Drosophila melanogaster: one gene and its partner. The protein of the gene in region 2 interacts with the protein of the main gene of each other region in a pairwise test. Each region holds a gene or a part of one and is shown on either strand. Other genes may lie near its edges.

The links. Proteins that work in one complex are often made in the same cells at the same time.
Region 1: the proteins of Nf-YA (region 2) and Pp2B-14D interact in a two-hybrid assay, tested with the Drosophila melanogaster proteins (2 studies listed by BioGRID).

What each region holds. Positions count from the first base shown.
Region 1 is NC_004354.4:16,556,892-16,563,349, reverse strand, and holds the start of Pp2B-14D (protein phosphatase 2B at 14D), read left to right. Parts: upstream 1-3,333; 5' UTR 3,334-3,942; coding exon 3,943-5,655; 3' UTR 5,656-6,458. UniProt on the Drosophila melanogaster protein: Calcium-dependent, calmodulin-stimulated protein phosphatase. This subunit may have a role in the calmodulin activation of calcineurin.
Region 2 is NT_037436.4:9,440,668-9,447,125, reverse strand, and holds the start of Nf-YA (nuclear factor Y-box A), read left to right. Parts: upstream 1-4,858; 5' UTR 4,859-4,963; coding exon of another isoform or gene 4,964-5,002; intron 5,003-5,159; 5' UTR 5,160-5,233; coding exon 5,234-6,433; 3' UTR 6,434-6,458. Other genes in the region: CG3529 (uncharacterized protein), read right to left, coding at 64-130; Srg3 (Sting-regulated gene 3), read right to left, coding at 841-1,424, 3,762-3,795; Bet3 (blocked early in transport 3), read left to right, coding at 4,964-5,002.

The sequences.
Region 1 (6,458 bases), on a different chromosome or scaffold from region 2:
ACAACCGAACACCCCACACACAAACAAATACACGCCGCATGCTTTTTGCGAGCGAGGTGATGGAAAGCATGCTTGGCGAGCAGAGCACCAATCAAGAAGAAAGCATGCTTTTGGCTCCGTTTCCACTGGACATTTTCCACTTGCCGCTTCTTCCTCGCGTGTTTTTTGCCTTTGCGCGGTTGCCCATGCGCATCAGCGGCTACGTCATCAAGCAGTTAATGGTTACAGATGATTTACATTTATATATATTTACATATATATATATATATATATATATATATATATATATATATATCCATATACAATATAAACCGATCTAATGTTAAGCGTTTCACACACAGACACAACAATTTACAAGACGTTTATGCATTTCGATTCAATGAAAAATCAAGAATACGAATAATACAAATATTATAAACAATAATTACAATAATGGATTACAGCAAGCAAGCTCTTACTATTATTTTTAAAGTAAATGAGAACTTTTTAACAAATTACCGCAACCCGTATACATATGTATAGCATATAACTGAATACTTTTCTCTCCTCCAACGTTCCCACAATAAAAAAAAAAGGAAAAAAGCAAAATTACAAATTAGCGCGCTCTTCTAACATAAAAAAAGCAAATGCAAAAACCAAAGTAAATTTAATTAATATACACATATATGAGAAGAAACCAAAAACCAAAATATATAACATATTACGAGTAAGCAAATAATATATAAAAATACTTTTATACTATATACACGAAGCCTAAGAACTAAACAAAAGCGAAACAAAATTATATTAACGACTACCCCTCTCGCTCTAACCTCTCCATTCTCCTGTTGTCCTGCTCTTCTTTTCTCTCTCTCTCTCTCTCTCTCTCTCTCTATCTCTCTCCGTCTCTCTCGCACTGTGAAACTCCCGACTCGACTTCGACCTTGACCCTTTATCTTTTCTCTCTCTCTATCTCTATGTCTTTCTCTCTGTCGTTTCGGTGACCTCAGAAGAGGACCCAGCAAAAATGCGAAAACCATACCAAAAGCAAAGGAAAATAACACTTTTTATCGGTACATTTTCTACTACACCATATATGAATAGGAAATACAAGAGAAGAAGAGGAAGCGAATATAAAGTTAAAACCAAATTACCAACTACAGCAAACCACAATTTCAATATAAAAACGAATGGGTCCTATTTCGAACTTGACTTTCGGCACCGTTTTTGTAAAATCCCTTGAGTTTTGAAACCATTTCGAAAGCTGCCTCTTAGTATGATATGAAAAACAAAACAATTTTGATTTGAAAAGTCTTTCATAGCACGCGTCTAGGCAGTTTTTTAAGTGGTTTCAAAACCCAGAGAATGATATTTAAAGATAGCCAAGACGTGATAAAAAAATACCCATAAAAACTATACTCAAATTTCAGCCGAAAGTTAAAATTAGAATGGCCGATTACAATCAATTCCACACTCAGTTCGATATCGAATAAATCGCATATTGAACATAAATGTTTTTAGAGTTTTTTTTTTTAAATTTCCGTTAGACTGTTAGTTTATCGATTAGCTTGAACTACTATGTACAATCAAATATTTAAGTCGCTTTAAGTAAGCCATTTTGTTAACCAATTGTTTTTTTTTTTTATAATCGTATATACACTTATTAAATTTAACGAGAATAAAGAGAAAATGGGAAGATTTCTTGTTTTTCGTTTCCACTCATCTCATCCATTGCAATGCGAATGAAAACCTTTTCATCATATGTATGTATGTATGTAATTATATACGTTACCTTAATTTTTTTGATACATGTATTTTTCAACATCTACTTCCTGCCCTCGAATGCTTTAAAAACTTTACACGAAAAAGAAAACAATTTAATATATATTATAAACAAAAAAGAAATGGACAAAGAAAAGCAAAAACAAAAAAAAAACAAGAAAAACCAAGTGAAGAAAAAACCAAAAAACAATTAAAACTTTACCTTTTGGATAAATCAATTTAAATGCATATTTTATATATATTTAAACATTTATTTATATATAACATGTATGATAAATATAAGTTGGAAAAACTTTGTCAAAGCAAAAAGTTTATATACTTATATTAAAGAAAAACAAAAAACAAATGGATGGAAGATGGGAAAGGAAAACCAAAAACCAAATAAATAATATTAAAAATGCAACATAACAAATTAACAAACAAGAAAACATCACATCTAGATAAATCTCTTAAAAATTTTCAATTTTATTATTAAACCGAAACCAAAGTTAATGGATAAACAAATTTATAAACTGTATTGCAAGGGGCAGCTGGCTGGCAAAAATTACATAAAATTTGCGCCGTTGTGACAAAAATTGTACGCAATCCAAGGAAGATAACAAATTAATTTACAAGATAAAGATGATGATAATGGAGATGTAGACGATGGAGAATAAATGAAGGCAACAACAAAATGCAGACAACAAGTTTTAACCTTAAGTGAATGCAAAACAAAATGAAGAAACCCAATGAAAACAAAATGATTATCAATGTTATTAACATAATTAATATTAACAAAAACGAAAAAAAAAGAACAAGCAAAAAAAAAAAACAAAAACAACCAAAAAAGAAATACAAAAACATTAAAAAAAATATACAAGTACCTATCCTGAGAATAAAATGCGCGCACATTTATTATTTCCTCTAAAAGTTCGTTTGAGTCGATTTCGCCACCGGGGAATTTCAGAATAAGCATATACATATTTAATCCCGGGAAGCATATCCACCAGTAGAAGGCTGGAGAAGTGGTGGACTGAGTGAGTAATGTCCAGAATTTGCTCGAAAATTAAGGAAGAGGTAAGTGTAAGTGGGGCGAAACCGACAGGTGGCCAAGAATTTCAATAATGAGGTTTTTACCTATATTGATAAATTCAGCATCTGGGCTCTCATATTCTCTAATTTTAATTCATTTTATAATGTTTAGTTAACTACGTTTAAAGAATAATTAAGATGAACGGCTTAATTGATAGCTTAAGCTTTTTTAAAATAAAATGTTTTCCAGTTGACATTTTGAATATGTACCAAGTCCAATTGGATATAATTATCAAAGTTTAGCACCTTGTGGTACATTGCTGTGCGGAATTTGTTCAGATTTTAATTTTGCGCCACCATCTACATCTTTAAAGTGAATATATTGTTAGAAAGGAGATAAAAGTAAGCGTATTCATTTAGAATATTAAATATACAGAGAAAGATATAATTTTGCACGTACCTTACTCGACTACTTCCATGACTTCCATTCCAGGTGCGAGTCTCGACTAGAGTACACATTCCAGCGGCCGTGTAGTAAGTTTGAGCTTTTGAGCCACGGCCACACTGCAGAAAATTCCATTAAAAAAAGCGAGAAAAAAAACGTAGCGAAAGAGAGAAATTACGACGTCTGCAGGGCCGAAGCGAAAAAAGTAGCAAATACTGAAACAGAGTGACTATGATTGTTGTTAAGTGAAAGCAGCACTTTTGGAAAACGGCTAGGCCAGCGGCGCAGGCCACGGAAGAAAGCAGCGGAGTCAGCGTTCCAAAATCAAAGCAAAGCCAGCGGAAAGTAAAGGAAAGCGAATCAAAGCTGGAAGGCGATAAAGCGGCTCACCAGGCACTCCAACAACAACAGCAACAATAGCAACAACAGTAGGAGCAGCAGCAACAACCACACAGCAGCAGCAGCAGCAGCCAGGGAAAGTACCAGAGTGTGAGTGAGTGAGTGAGCGAGTGTGCGTGTGCGTGTGTGTGGGTAGTGGAAACAGAACTGAGCCGTGAGAGAGCGAGAGCGGGAGAGCGAGAGCGGGAGAGCGAGCTAGTGGAAGTGGGAGCGGGAGAGGAGCAGTCCGATTCCGAATCCCGGAATAGAAACCAGGAAAAAGGAAACGGGAAGCAGTAGCCGTAGAAGCAGAGCCAAAAACCGAAACAGAAACAGAAGTCTCAACCATGTCTTCGAATAACCAGAGCAGCAGCGTTGCCCAGGCGGCAACAAGTGCCCGCACCGTCAGTGCCGGATCGGCGGAAGCCACAGATGCCAATAGTACCGCCTCGAACAACAACAATAATAGCAGCAGTACCGCTGCAGCGGGCAACAACAGCGACAACAGCAGTCCCACCACTGGAACGGGCACAGGAGCGAGCACTGGAAAGCTGCACGGCGGCCACACGGCAGTAAACACCAAGGAACGGGTGGTGGACAGCGTTCCCTTCCCGCCCAGCCACAAGCTGACCTTGGCGGAGGTGTTCGACCAACGCACCGGCAAGCCCAACCATGAGCTGCTCAAGCAGCACTTCATTCTTGAGGGCAGAATCGAGGAGGCGCCCGCCCTGAAAATCATCCAGGACGGAGCCGCCCTGCTGCGTCAGGAGAAGACGATGATCGATATTGAGGCGCCGGTGACGGTGTGCGGTGATATCCACGGCCAGTTCTACGACCTGATGAAGCTGTTCGAAGTGGGCGGCTCGCCCGCGAGCACCAAGTATCTGTTCCTGGGCGACTACGTCGATCGGGGCTACTTCAGCATCGAGTGCGTCCTGTATTTGTGGTCGCTAAAGATCACCTATCCGCAGACGCTGTTCCTGCTGCGCGGCAACCACGAGTGCCGGCACTTAACCGAGTACTTCACCTTCAAGCAGGAGTGCAAGATCAAGTACTCGGAGCGCGTGTACGACGCCTGCATGGACGCATTCGACTGCCTGCCGCTGGCGGCGCTAATGAACCAGCAGTTCCTCTGCGTGCACGGCGGTCTGTCGCCGGAGATACACGAGCTGGAGGACATCCGGCGGCTCGACCGCTTCAAGGAGCCGCCCGCCTTTGGCCCCATGTGCGACCTGCTGTGGTCCGATCCCCTGGAGGACTTTGGCAACGAGAAGAACTCGGACTTCTACACGCACAACTCCGTGCGCGGATGCTCGTACTTCTACAGCTACGCCGCCTGCTGCGACTTCCTGCAGAACAACAACCTGCTGTCGATCATCCGGGCGCACGAGGCGCAGGACGCCGGCTACCGCATGTACCGCAAAAGCCAGACCACCGGCTTCCCCTCGCTGATCACCATCTTCTCGGCGCCCAACTATCTCGACGTGTACAACAACAAGGCGGCGGTGCTGAAGTACGAGAACAACGTGATGAACATCCGGCAATTCAACTGCTCGCCGCACCCGTACTGGCTGCCCAACTTCATGGACGTGTTCACCTGGTCGCTACCCTTCGTGGGCGAGAAGGTCACCGAGATGTTGGTGAACGTGCTGAACATCTGCTCCGACGACGAGCTCATGACCGAGGAGAGCGAGGAGCCGCTCTCCGACGACGAGGCGGCGCTGCGCAAGGAGGTGATACGCAACAAGATCCGTGCCATTGGCAAGATGGCGCGCGTCTTCTCCGTGCTGCGCGAGGAGTCCGAGTCGGTGCTGCAGCTGAAGGGCCTGACGCCCACGGGCGCCCTGCCCCTCGGCGCCCTCTCCGGCGGCAAGCAGTCGCTCAAGAACGCCATGCAGGGCTTCTCGCCCAACCACAAGATTACCTCGTTCGCGGAGGCCAAGGGCCTGGATGCCGTCAACGAACGGATGCCGCCGCGGCGGGATCAGCCGCCCACGCCCAGCGAGGATCCGAATCAGCACAGTCAGCAGGGCGGCAAAAATGGGGCTGGACATGGGTAAGCTGTGCCATCTAGTGCGGCTGCAGGACGAGGATGCAGATGCAGATGCGGCACGGTGGAGTCTGGCGAGGTCTGAATTGGTCTGAAGGAGGGGCTGAGTGGAGCGGAGCGGAGGCAACACAAAGAACACCAACCGAACGGAACCTTAATTAAACTTAATGTGGCAGAGCAACAACTTAAATACTAAAACCAATTCTAATTCTAAGTAATTGTCATAACCCCCTGCATTTCGTATGTGATCCCGCACCAGCTCCATGCCCATGTCTATGTCCATGGCCCAGAGCCTCCAAACCGACGGCACGGAGCAGAGATTTGTTTTTACGCAGGCGCGCGCACATTGGATATTAAAATTATGTGTGGCATACTTTGGCGCGCCGGCCCCCAAAACGGAAAATTCCCTTTCGCGATAGAAGAAAACCAACCCATAACGTAACCCATAACCTAGCTTAAGTTGTAATGTATAAACTATAAACTGAAATGGGCAAATTTTAAAATGGAAAATGAACAAAACGGAAAGAGCTAATTGAAATCCCTCCCCCTGCGATAATGCGATAATTTAAGATGAAAAACCCCAGCAGAATCCCCATAATCCCCAGAGGCAAGAAACACTAATCCAATTGAAGAGATATGGGAAACAAAATCCAGCGCTAATCTGTTCCAAACATTTAGCAGCGGCAAAAAAGAAGCGTACATATATGTATACATATGATTATTTAGAAATATCGAGGCGCAGTGCCGAGATGCAACCGAAAGTGTAATGAAATTTGAAATGAGCAAAGGTCATTTTTTGTAATAATCGTAATC
Region 2 (6,458 bases):
CACACACCCCCGCTTCCGGTGGGTGTTTTTTTTACGCTGGAGGGGGGAGGGTGGTTTACTCACCTATGCGCTGGCCAACTGGAGTGGAGAAAACATTTCCCAAGGCGCCAACGTTGAAAAATGAAGCCATCGTGGAGAAGTTTCTTATTAATGCTCGCCGTTGGGTTGCAGTGCGGTTAAAATTGTTCTTTATTTACTTTTTGTTCACCTGGATGAAATGTTTATGCACTTGTCTACAGCAGAGTGACCATGGCTGGCCTCAGCGAAAAATACCCACAAAGAAATGCATTACAATAAGTGGGTAAATAGGAATAGGTTTTTTTCCAGGGCTGCAGCATTTTATTTCATTTTATTTAAAAGAATTATCCACAGTTTTTGAGATAATGACATAGTTATACCCGTTACTCGTAGAGTAAAAGGGTTTATTAGATTCGTTGAAAAGTATGTAACAGGCAGACCATATAAAGTATATATATTCTTGATCAGGATCAGTAGCCGAGTCGATCTGGCGATGTCCGCCTGTCTGTACGTTTGAACGTCGAGATCTCAGGAACTATTTAAGCTAGAATGTTTAGATTAAGCGTGCAGATTCCAGAGACATAGACGCAGCCCAAGATTGTTGACCCATGTTTCCATGACCACTCCAACGCCCACATTAGATTGTTCTTAGTTTTATTGTTCACCTTGCACCTTGCACCTTTTGGATTGTAATCACACCCACATCTTTAAACAATTTTAATTTTTTCTCATTTTATTCGCAATCCGACTAGCTGAGTAACGGGTACCTCATAGTCATGGTTGTTCACAGAGCGTGTTATGTATCTCAAAAACTTTGTAATTTCAAAGAGTTATTTCACAATTCATTCCACAGATTTCGTGGATAATGAATTTTCGATTGTTCAACCTTGCACCTGTCTCAAAAATGAGCTTTCCGTCAGCGGTCCTTCTGACGGTACCGCTGGCGGTCCCACTGATGGTTCCGCTGATGGTCCCGTTGATAGCCCCACGGACGGTCCCCTTGACGGTTCCGCTGACGGTCCCTTCGATGGTTCCGCTGCCGGTCGTGCTGACGGCCCCGTCGACGGTCCGGCTGATGGTCCCTTCGACGGTCCCGCTGAGGGTTCCGCTGAGGATCCCGCTGAGAGTCCCACTGAATGGCATTGGAACGAACTCGTTGATGACCAATCCAATGACGGTCGCGCTGACGGTCCCGCTGACGGTAGCGCTGACGGTCTGGCTGAGGGTCCCGCTGAAGGCTCCTCTAGCGTTCCCGCTGACTTTCCCGCTGACGTTCCCGCTGACGTTCCCGCTGACGTTCGCGCTGACGCTAACGCTCCTGCTGACGGGCACGTCGTCGGTCTCGCTGTCAGTGATCTCCATGTCGACGGCCCAGATTTCCGAGGACAGTTCATAGGATTCGTCCTCTGAAAGAAGAGAACGTAGGGTATATTAGTGAGTGAGGCTTTGAGACTTATATTTTGATAGTCCCGACTTGGTTAGTCGGCTAAACTTCTCTGTTCCAAGACCCATAATCTTAAGCCCATTTAGATCTAACTATAAGTTGCATGATTCTTACAGAATATTGTGTTCTGACTATAATAGTCATTATCCTATTATCTGTAATCTTTGCTCTCTGCCGCTCTTAAAGCAATCAATCAAATCAATCGGTGCATTATTCACAAATACGACGCAAAATTTGTTTTTGGTTAGATTAAGGAATATATGAGTTAGCGGTTCCAACAGGCTGATAGGACAAATCATATGCCTCGCACGTAGGGTATAAACTGAGAAGAAACGTGTTTTTCCCCGGAATTCTTTGCGACACATACAGTTTGTCAAGAAACTGTTTACACACTGTGAAATAAGTTGAATTTTTGACTTTAAAGCTAAAAATAAAGGGTTTTTTGCTTAATTAAACGCAATTTTTTTATAAAATATAATTAAACAATATTTATTTTACTTATAAATCAAAAAACAAATTAAAAATATTAAATATACAAGAAAATAAACAACAAATTCCAAGTTTACACACTTTTGAGACTGTCAAGAAACTCTTTACACATTTTGTTTTCCTACTTTGTTTTGTTCTTTTTCTTAGAACGAACTCGATTTTTCCGTTATTTTTGGCTTTACATTGCTTTTTACAACGCTTCTATTGAAATTTGTTGACTTTGCTTGTGAAATTTTGCTGATCAAACGTGCTTAAAGCGAATTATTAAATTTAATAAAATGCCTGGAAAGAGATTAACTTTTGAAGTTACCCAATTAATAAACTATAACCACCAGTTGGGAAAATCTTTTCCAGAATTAGTATAAATGTTTCCTGTATCCCGTAAGACCGTCTACAATGTTTTAAAAGGCTCGGAAAAAGAGGGCAGGCTTGAACCTAAGAGTGGTGGTGGGCGGAAAATTAAAATTAAAAAGCGTGTAGACCGCTTTATTATGCGAATAGTGATTGCGAACCCCCGAATCTCGGTCAGATCACTTGCTCTGGATATCAGGCAAGAATGTCACCTAACTGTGTCACACGAAACTGTGCGCCAAGTCATCCTACGCCATAGGTACTCTTCAAGAGTTGCAAGGAAAAACCCTTTGCTATCAGATGCCAATATTGAAAAGCGTCATTTATTCGCTATGAGCATGATGGATCATGCGGAAGAGTACTGGGATGACGTCATATTTTGTGACAAAACAAATATGATGCTCTTTTATAACGACGGGCCAAGCAGAGTATGGCGCAAACCGTTGAGTGCGCTAGAAAAACAAAATATCATTCCAACAATAAAATTTGGAAAAATGTCACTGATGGTTTGGGGCTGTATCACCAGCCGTGGAGTGGGAAAACTAGCCTTAATTGAGAGCACAATAAATGCCGTGCAATATCTAGGAATTAAAAAAAAAAATTTGAAGGCCAGTGCAGAAAAATTTGGTCTAGTTAGCAACAACAAGCCAAATTTTATGTTTTACCAGGACATGATAAGAAACATAAAGAGTGCAATGTACGCACCTGGCGCCCTTATAACTGTGGTAAAGTGATCGATACGCCCCCTCAGAGTCCTGATCTGAACCCCATTGAAAATTTGTGGACCTACTTAAAGAAGAAGGTGGCAAAAAGGGACCTAAAACACAACAACAGCTTATGACTGTAATAGTCGAAGAGTGTGAAAAGATCCCGTTTGAATATGACCTGCAAAAACTTGTCCAATCCATGAAAAAAAGGCTTCAACTTGTAGCTAAAGCCAATGGGGAACATACTACATACCAAAACTTTTAAAATTTTAATAAAATAATTAAAAAATTTAGGTTTAAACTTCGATTTAGTGTTTTGTGTAAAGAGTTTCTTGACAGTCTCAAAAGTGTGTACACTTGGAATTTGTTGTTTATTTTCTTGTATATTTAATATTTTTAATTTGTTTTTTGATTTATAAGTAAAATAAATATTGTTTAATTATATTTTATAAAAAAATTGCGTTTAATTAAGCAAAAAACCCTTTATTTTTAGCTTTAAAGTCAAAAATTCAACTTATTTTACAGTGTGTAAACAGTTTCTTGACAAACTGTATGTATGTACACTTGCCACACTTTTTGGTGTTGTAATTATATCTTTCGGATCAGAAACCTCGCAATTTACGTGGCATTATAATTAAATATATTATTATTATTAAAATGTAACGAACATTATCCAAAATAAGATACAAATTGAAAAAAATACGGAGAACTAGAGTTCACTAAAATTATTAAAGGTTCCATAGGTTTCATACCTATGGCCCTAATATTGGAGGAAATATTTCCCATTGCGGTGGAGTTATTTATTATAGTTATTTTCACTGGTTATTTTATGTTATGGTATTTTCACTGGTGGAAGTACGGAGACTGAATGATATATGTTCTGCAGCCATGCAATATATATAAGTACAATTTATTAAATTTTTTAATCTAACATTGCTGTGGTGAGTATGGGGGTTGGGTCATAGCGTTTAGTATAAGTATTTTAAGTTAAGTACTTTTCTTGAGTGACATGGACTGGTAACATTAACATATGGCACAATATTTTAATTATTTTTACAAATAGCATTTAATTTTAAACTAGCATTAATTTCTTTTTATATTTTTGGATACCCCGTCAGAAGGACGAAAGCACCGGAAGGACAGAAGGACAGGAGTCATCGCCGGGGATAAATTGGAGTTTTGCAGCATTTAAATATAGCCGACTGTCCCACCCACTGTCCCTCCCACTGAAATCTTAATGTTGCAGATCTATTGCAGAAATCTTATTGTTAATAAAGCGGTTCATGACATGGATTGGTTGTGGTATTGGTACTAAAGAGGGCGGATCTTAAACTCCTCCCACTGTTATGTTATTATCTCAAAAACAGTGGAAAATTTTTAATGATTTTTTAATTTAATGAAATATTCCTGAAATGTCCTTAAGGTCTGAGGAGTTAAGGTTTGAGGAGGTCTAGCGTGCAAAATGTTGGGGAGCCGATTATTCTATCGCATTATTTTTTTACTTTCTTGAGCCCTATAAGTAGTACATAGATAGTTAGATCTGCCATTTTGAAACATTTTTGCATTTTTATTCTTGGGAATTTACTCCCAAATAACGTTAGCGCAAATTTATTAATTAATGTATTTATTAAATAAATTTATTATACTGATAACATATTAATATAGCAAAAAAAAATACGTTTTTGAATATATGTGCATTCTTTTTAAACTGCTGCACACATTTATTATTTTTTTGGACTCTTACAATACTTTTTCAAAAATTTTAAATATAACTGCGACTTTGAGCGATACTTTCACTTTTCCCGTGACGCCAACCGATATGCACAGCGCTTGCAGCCCTGGCCAATTTTGATGTGTTTCAGCATTGTACCCTGACAACCCTGCTCTGTAAAACTAGGAAAAACAGAAAATTTTATTTTCAATTGTTAAATATCCAAACGTAAACAGCCGGAAAATGTCACGACAAGCCTCTCGTTTGGACGCCAAGAAAGTGGTAAGTTGGCCAAAGAAGAGAGAACAGCGCAAGATCGGTATCGTTAGTCATTTGGAGGCATAGATCTAGTTGTAAGGTTAGATTTGTGCCATAGTGCCTAAGAACGAATCTTTGACGTGCCATCCACCCTCAAAATCGGCTTCATTCACTTTTCCAGTAAGTGTGTGTGTTGGGGGCTTGAGGTTGAGACACGGACACACAGACAGGCACAAGCCGACGTGCAATCAGGCAATGGAAAACCATTTCAGCGCCACCAGTCGCCCCTCAGCCACGCCCAGAATGTGCACCACCGCCTCTGCCGTCGGTGCTGCCGCCAGCGCCGCCGCCGCCGCCGGCAACAACAATAACAACAGCAATAGCAGCAGCAACAACAACGCAACAACCGGCAACAATTTAAGTGTTAGCACTGCAGCCGGAGGAGCCACAAATGCCGCAGCAACGGCACAACCCATCCAAGTGATACCAATGCCCATGCTGCCCACCGGAGCGGCGCAAATCATAATTGGCCAGCAGCCACAGGGTCAGGCGACGGCGACGGGTCTGCAGCCACAATTGATACCGCTGCAGGCCAACCAGATTATGCTGCAGGCTGCGCAGCAGCAGCCACAGATGCAGGTGATGCAGCTGCCCGATGGCCAGACTATATTCTATCAGACGCCCACCATTGCCGCCTTGGATCCGAATGCAGCGGCCAACGCCGCAGCTGCCATGGCAGCCCAGCCGACGCCGCACTACCTCAATATCAATGGGCAGCTGGTGCAGATCAATCCAGCACCGAGCGCTAATCAGGCGGCACCCACAGCTGGGCAACAGATTATAATGGTGCCGCAGACAGCGATGGCAGCGGTGAATGCAGCGGCCGCCAATGCCGGAGTAGGCGCCGGAGTGGGCACAGTGGTTACCCAACAACAACAGCAGCAGCATCAACAAGTACAATCCCAGACCCAAAACCAGCAGCAGCAGCAACAGCAGCAGACGGTGGCGGCGGTGGCTGCCAGTGCTGCAGTCAATAATATAAGCGCCGATGTCAGCACAAGTACAACTGGAACGAATACGAACAGCGAGGACGAGAGCTCCAAGGGCGAGGCGGACGAGGAGCCGCTCTATGTGAATGCCAAGCAGTACAAACGTATTCTCATTCGGCGGCAGGCCAGGGCCAAGCTAGAGTCGCGCATACCCAAGGAACGGTGCAAGTATCTGCACGAATCTCGTCATCGCCACGCCATGAATCGGGCTCGTGGCGAGGGTGGTCGCTTCCATTCGGCACAGGAGAAGGGCGACCAAGATTCGTCCGGCCCGGAAGGCGGCAGCATGCCAATGGCGTCCAGTGGCGGCGTCACCCTCAGCCGTGGCACGGCACGTGCTCCGCCCAAACTGATCGCGCCACATCAAACGCCCAGCATTACCATAACGGCGATCAAATCGGAATAGTCGCCTCCTAGCTGTAGGATACAAA